Mus musculus: one gene and its partner. The protein of the gene in region 1 purifies or fractionates together with the protein of each later gene. This does not show direct contact. Links are inferred from orthologs where the notes say so. Each region holds a gene or a part of one and is shown on either strand. Other genes may lie near its edges.

Region 1 (3,648 bases):
GGCTGGTCACCTGGAGACTGAAGGGCCCATGTGGACTAAAGCCAAGTCTGCTCACGACAGAGTTAAGCCAAAATCAGCCAAGCTTCAGCTGTAAGCCATTGTAGAGCCTGCCTCTAACTGGAAAACATGCAGGATAATGAATTAACCAAATGCCCACTGCTTCAAAGTACTTAGTGTTCGGATGGTTTGTTAGGCAACATTGCAGAGACAATAGACAACTAATACACTGAAGAAATCAAAGACATAAATCTATCTTTATATTACATAGCTGCAGTTCTGTTCCTCCTACTTATGAGCAATATACTTTAAAAGCCTGTAAGTTTTTGTTTTTGTGTATAATCTTAACATAGAGCAGGCATTTTATTAAATGGGTATTTGAAAGATTTCTTGAACGGTGGTTTCTATGACCATATTCTAAAATTTTTAACAATAAAACTGAAAGCTATCTCCTCAACTCCATTTATCCATGAAAAACTTTATATGATTGTGGTAGTTTGAGTAGGTACAGCCTTAATAGACTTGTGTGTGTGAATGCTTGGCCATAGGAAGTGGCACTATTAGGAGGTGTGGCCTTGGTGAAGTAGGTGTGGAAGAAGTATGTCACTGTGAGGGTAGGCTTTGAGGTCTCCTATGCTCAAGCTATACCTAGTGTGGCACACAGTCTCCTGCTGTATGTGGATCAAGATGTTGAACTCTGGTTCCTCCAGCACCATGTCTGTGTGCACGTTGCCATGCATGTTGCCATGATGATAATTACTAAACTTCTGAAACTGTAGGCCATCCTCAATTAAATGTTTTCCCTTATGAGTTGCTGTCAGGTGTCTCTTCACAGAGATGAATACCTAACTCAGTGGTAAATATAGTTATTTATTTCCACTTATAAATAATGAAACTGAGACTCAGCAAAGTTAGGTTCCAAAGTTCTCATAGCTTGAACTGGAATTTGTATCCCCAAACCATGCTCATGACTATGACACATGCTGTGCTTGTAACGGAAGAAGGCACAGCGAAATGTGTGCATGCCGGGGTATAGAGAATGGCATCCAGTAGGCAGCCTTACCTGAGCCTGAGGCAGAAGAATAGTCATCATCATCAATAGGATATACTCCTGAAGCTTCCTCAATGGAGCTATTGTCAAGGTACATATCCTTATCGGATGTCAGCTCTGTTCTCTGAGAAAGGAAAGATAAGCAATTCAGGATGGTCAGATTAAGAAAGGCTCTGCTGTCTCTTGTGAGACTATGCCGGGGCCTAGCAAACACAGAAGTGGATGATCACAGTCAGCTATTGGATGGGTCACACGGCCCCCAATGGAGGAGCCAGAGAAATTACCCAAGGAGCTAAAGGGAACTGCAACCCTATAGGTGGAACAACATTATGAACTAACCAGTACCCCGGAGCTCTTGTCTCTAGCTGCATATGTATCAAAAGATGGCCTAGTCGGCCATCACTGCAAAGAGAGGCCCATTGGACTTGCAAACTTTATATGCCCCAGTACAGGGGAACCCCAGGGCCAAAAAGTGGGAGTGGGTGGGTAGGGGATTGGGGGGGTGGGTATGGGGGACTTTTGGGATAGCATTGAAAATGTAAACGAGGAAAATACCTAATTAAAAAAAAAAGAAAAGAAAGGCTCTGCTTTGTCTACTGTTCACATTTTGCATATGCTGTATTGAAGATCTGTCACTTTGCAGCTGTGTTCTGCATTCTCCTGTCCAGCCACCCTTCTCTCTCTCTCTCTCTCACACACACACACACACACACACAAAACCCCAAGGAAGCTCACGTGGCCTAATCTTATATAATAATGACCGCACTGATATCCAAGTCTGGCATAGGCTTAGCTCATTGCACCCCACTTCACTTACCTGAGTATCTGTTGTTCTAAGTTACTAAACTATCTCAGACATTCATTCTATCACAAATGAGATTACTTAGTGATTAATGTTAAGCTACAGAATGCCTAAATTATTTACGATTTTCTTGGAAACATAAAGCAAGGTATTATGACACTAGGCTAAATAATCACTTAGGGACGTATACACACCAGATACTTAACAGGCGTGGCCATGCGTGGCTTTCTCACTACAGATAAGTGCTCTCCAGTTACTAGGGAAAACCAGAGATCTCTGTACAGACCAGACCCACACTGACATCAGGCAAGGTAATCTGTGTGGAACAGGGCCTGTGGAGCTCATATGCCAATGGTGAAAGTCCATGGCAAGCCTACTTCTCAGGCTTGCTGGCTTAGCAAAGTTTAATGACAAACAGATAAACCCACAAGAGTACTTTTTCTTGTATTACTGGCACTTGGTGACAGCAAGTCATAGGCTTGATGTGGAGCAGGATTGAGTCACCAACTATCCCATTTCCAGAGCCTCTCAGCTTTTCAAGAATTGGCCATGATTAAAATTCAGTCTATGTTTGCCCAAGAAGTAACTTGCATGAATTGCAGACAGAGCAGAAGTGGAATTTTTTTTACAAAAGGATTTAGTAAATTGATATTTTACTACAAGTATCTCAGACTAGCAGTTTTTGGAACAAATGACATTCATTTTAGTCCTATTTTTAACGATCAAATTGGAATGTTTGTCCCTCACGGAATTATATATATAAGAAAAAATTCCCCTTACTATGTTGGTTTCCACTAGATTTCTTCTAAAAATAAAACTCGGTTTCAACAGTCAATATGCGTGAACCTCCCTGGGAAAACTAGCAGGCACACTCTGAAAGCAACACTTTGTCCTCTCAAGTTTCAGGGGCTTGCTGGAGAGGCAGGAGGATATTAAATGTTAGCCCACAATCTCCACTGGCCTTGATGCCAAGGAACAAAGAAGGATGGGAATCACTTTGAGATATCACACTGGGCAATTAAGAGGCCACAGCCCTTAGGGATTTGGGTTCCAGCAGGCTGGTTTGCAGGCATGAGTAACACCCCTCTCACAGCAGCCAAGAATGTTCTGGAGCTGTCCAGACATACAGTTAGATTCATCTGTAATCTGAGACAGTTCTACAAAATACCAGTCTCCAAGCCTCTGATCATTCCATATTTTAATTCTCAAAGCTTGCAAACTGAGTAGGGACTTCTGTATACTCTAGCCTCATACATTCTCTGACCCTATTACATTCTCAGCTCTTTTGTGGGAGAAGGCTGTGCACATAGCCCCCTAACATTCCTGGGATATACATTCATACATATATGAATTCAAACTACTGTAGGTTGAAAAACTGTGTGTGTGTAAATATATAATGGTACTAATGAATCTGAGGTAGGACAATCACACGTTTGAGGGCAGCCTGGGCTACTTAATAAGACCCTGTCACAAAATAATGTGAATATAAATTTTAAAAAATTCGGTACTGAGTGTATACCATAATAAACAACAGCTATCAGCACAACCATTATAAGTAGCCAGGAGATGACTTAAAGTACACAGGAAAAATCTGGGTACGTGGAACTGTTATTTTATATAAAAATGACCTGTCGTTTTAATATAATAAAAAAGAAAGCATTTGTCAGTGTTGGTGTACAAGGCATCTTAGACTCAACAGCAGGACCTCCCTGAAAGCCTCCTTACTGCACACTGCTAAATCTTAGTGCCTGGAATAAAGTAGGTGCCCAGAAAACACTCCTTTTGTTGAACTACCTGC
Region 2 (3,748 bases), on another chromosome or scaffold:
GTCTTTTGCTTTACTGGGACCACACCTGAGGTCTTGTGTAAGCTAGGGAAGTCCTTACCACTGGGCCATATCCTCATTCTTTTCTATTTTTACTTCCAGCCAGGATCTTACCAAGTGTCTCTGCATGCCTGGAGCTCATGATCCTCCCGCCTCAGCTTCCCAAATAGCTAATTACAGGTATGTGTCACTACACCAAGCCACCAACCACTTCTAGAGTCCCTGAAGGCAGACCACAGGGCTGCAGAAAGGAAGACAGAGTCCTCATTTTAAACCCTTTCCTATCAGATAGGCCTGGAACTACACAGACGAGCTAGGTGAGTAAGAAGGGTACCAGCAGCCAGAGCCATCCTCCTACTATACCACAAGACTGTAAACGACTGCTAGGGACTCACCAGAGGAGAAGCACAGGCGCTATCCTCCACTCTCCAAGCCAGGATCCATCTCCCTGGCCCTGTGCCAAAACTTGGCATCTACAGTACCACACATACAGGCAAAAGCCAAAGGGGACCACTCCATCAGCTCCAGGATTTCTGGTGCTTAGTCAATCACCTTTGACTGGGAGCATCCTCACTCACTCACTCAAGACTGCCTCACTAGGCCTTGACCCCAAGTAGAAGATGCTCTCAAGGTATAAGCACCTAAGGGTCTCTGGTTCAGCAACAGAGTAACCAGCACAGAGCTAGTCCCAGGGCATACACCTAGAAGACAGATGCGAGCACAGAGAATCTATCTCAGTACAGTACAAAGCCTAGATAAGCACAGTCAGCAGGATAAGAATAGGCCAGAGGCGGTTAGTCAGGGTGTCAATACAGGCAGCTATAAGGAGTTGATAACACCCAATCAATCATCGAAATGTCTTTCTTTTAGCCATTAGACTTGAGAGTTAAAGACACATCCCTGGAAGCACAAACTCTAGTAGCTAAGTCCTCACCAGGATGGACCACAGGGCCAGCTGCAGATGGTGCAGAGATGCCCACTTAGGTCCAAAGGATGCAGCGTACATAGCCCACCAGCCATTTCAAGGGCTCCCCACTCTCCTGAAGAAATTCACAACACAGGCCTGGAACAAGCCAACAGGAAGGACACTGGCAATAGGTGTTAGCAATCTGGTTGTGTAGGTGTTAGCAATGCATGACCCCATATGTCAGACCTCACCACCCCACTCACCAGGGAGGGAGTTCTAGATCTAGGGTCTTGGAAAGAATAAGTAAAGGCAAGTCTAGCCTGAGTCTGCCTGGTACCAATCAGAGTAGCCAGTCCGCAGTCAGTCCCACACCCTCCCCACTCCATTCACATACACTTCACACGCAGTCTTAGCATCTGCACAAGCTGACACGTGTGCATATACATCTCGTGGGCACCCACATCCACACCCACTCCTTGTTACGGAGGGCAGCACCCCTGACATGGAAACCTCAGGCACCCCCTCCCACCTCCCTCCCTGCGCCATCAAGTCAGCCAGTCAGCCGGGGAACCGGGGAACCGAGGTCGAGAGGCATCATTGCAGAGAGGGTGCTGCAGAAGGGGACCTTATCGGAGGCACTCAGTGGCCTGGACAAGAGGAGGGGAACCCATGCCTGAAACCAAGAACTCTCACCTGGAGCGGCAGCGGAAGCTTGCAGGCCGGCCCGCTTCTTAAAGGGATATTTGGCCTTGGACTTGCCTGGGCCAGGATAGGATGCCATGGCTGGGGCCAAGGCGACAGCGGAGGAACCTCACCGGCTGGGGCCAAGCTCTCCCACATCCAACCCCTTCCTCCGCCCCGCCCCCAGCGGGAGTGACTGATGCAGGAAGCAGCGCCCCGCAGGCGGAAGAGGCTCTGGCCACGATTTCTGATGTTGTCTAGGCAACCTCGGGGAGTGGGGCCTCCATCCTGCCCCTTATCCCTCTCTTCCCACTCCAGTCTTTAGAGTGCCCTGTCTGATGGTGGCTAGGGCCGGGGTCGGGATGCAGAGAAAACAGATGGAGCAGCACCAGCTCTAAGCTCTTTACTACCCTCACCCCACCTCGGGAACCCTCATCCCTTGCCAAGGCTCCAAGGCAAAGAAGCCAAAGTCCAGGCTAGGCTGGTCCAGCCAGCCAGAGAGAAAAATAATAGGCAAGAATACCGCCTGAGCTCCAACCTCAAAACCCATTTCCTCCAGGGAAGGAACAACGGTACTCATGAAAACCCAGAGCCTCTGGGGCAGAGCCCCCCTCTTTTCTTCTCCATCTGACCCCTGCTCTAGGGACAGCCCAGCTCCGGGAGGAGGCAGAACTGAGAATTCGAGCCCAGGAGGGAGGGGCCTGTCTTGGGAAAATTCCACTGACCGGCAGAAGCTGTCTCCTAGGAAGACAGGAAGAGTAGGAGGCTGGGTCTTGTCTGAGGTCGATGGGAAAGACCCCAGCCTACTCTGACCTGTCGCTCTGCCTGTACACTCAAGATCTGCTTCCTTGGACCCTTCTAGGAGCCGTTCACGTCCCCTAGGTCTTGCAGGCATTGCCAAGACCCCCCACCCACTTATCACCCGACCCAGGCACCTCTGCCTTGGAGTCCCTTTATCAACCACACACGCGCCACACACTTACCTGAGGCCATGCTGCCCAAGTCCCGCGTGGACCAGGAAGGCAGCCTACGAAAGTCTGCACAGCGAGGGAGCCGGGCTGAAGAGGGGAGAGGGCCCCCACCGGGGCGAAGTCGCGCCACTGGCCCCTGCACCCGCACTGAGAAGCGGGAAGGAAGGCAAGGTTTTCAAAATGGCCAGCTGGCCGGGGGGCGGACTCCCGCCGACTTCAGCGGCCAGACTGACCTCAGGAGACCCCGGAGTCGCGACCCCAAGCCTGCACTCAAGAGGAAACAGGCCACGTGCTCCCCAGAAAACCGGACCCGGAATTCGCCTAGGGTTCTTTCACCACTTTCTGGGAATCAATTAGGGATCCGGCTCCTGTGGCCGGGCTACGGGGGAGTCACGCAACAGGTGCGACCCCGCCGAAACCTTCCGGGCTGCGCGCCAATCTCGCGTACCCCAGGCCCCGCCAAGTCCGCGGCCACGCCCCGTTCGGCCACGCCTCTTGGCCTCCTGGCCACGCCCCAACCATTTTCCCAGTTCCCTTACGCCACGTGGGCAGCCTCCGGACCAGGGTTGGCCTTGGCTTGGCCCTTTGGTCTTGGGCGATTTCTGTGCGTCAGTTTCCTCATCAGTAAGATGGGATGAGGCAATGGAAACACCCCATCCAAAGAAAGGAGTTACTGAGGACTGAAGGTAAATCCCCTTTGCACAATGTCTGGCACAAAGTCAGGTAGCTATTATTAGGGTCCCAGAATCCATTTCAAGCAGAAGCCCTGCCCTTGAATTCTCCGCATTCCCACCTGAATCTATTTCCTTCTATCAGTCATTGGTAGGCAGGATGTGCCCTTCAAAGCCGGTTCACCATCCCACATTAATTTCTATGTTGACGTTAGACTAGCCAGAATGCCTAGGTTCAAATTCAGACATCTCCACCTACTTTCTGACTGATGGTGAACTTCTCTCTGGGTTTTACTGGTTAACTTTGGCTCTTACACCCGCTCTGATGAAGATAAAGGAGATAATTATAAGTGCTTAGACTTGTGCCTGGCCTGTAAGTTACTTCCCAATCAGTGTTCCTGGAAGATTTCTTTGGCCTGGGATCACTATGGCCAGCTCACTGATTTCTCCTTGTGGGTTATGAGAAATTGGGCTGTTTGAATAGGGCCACAGACACCCTCTCAAACAAGGATTCCTGCCTC

Evidence for each region. The genes of interacting proteins can lie anywhere in the genome.
Region 2: the proteins of Sdc2 (region 1) and Ampd2 purify together in Homo sapiens (co-immunoprecipitation; 3 studies listed by BioGRID and IntAct, counting the BioPlex papers as one, with this or other methods). This does not show direct contact. The link is inferred for Mus musculus from reciprocal best matches to the Homo sapiens genes SDC2 and AMPD2.

Annotation. Positions count from the first base shown.
Region 1 is NC_000081.6:33,014,626-33,018,273, reverse strand, and holds part of Sdc2 (syndecan-2 precursor), read right to left. Parts: intron 1,173-3,648; coding exon 1,061-1,172; intron 1-1,060. UniProt on the Homo sapiens protein: Cell surface proteoglycan which regulates dendritic arbor morphogenesis.
Region 2 is NC_000069.6:108,083,650-108,087,397, forward strand, and holds the start of Ampd2 (AMP deaminase 2), read right to left. Parts: upstream 2,579-3,748; coding exon 2,569-2,578; exon of another isoform or gene 2,327-2,568; intron 1,778-2,326; exon of another isoform or gene 1,745-1,777; coding exon of another isoform or gene 1,598-1,744; intron 1,020-1,597; exon of another isoform or gene 932-1,019; intron 1-931. Other genes in the region: Gm12500 (uncharacterized protein LOC791415), read left to right, coding at 2,577-3,194. UniProt on the Homo sapiens protein: AMP deaminase plays a critical role in energy metabolism. Catalyzes the deamination of AMP to IMP and plays an important role in the purine nucleotide cycle.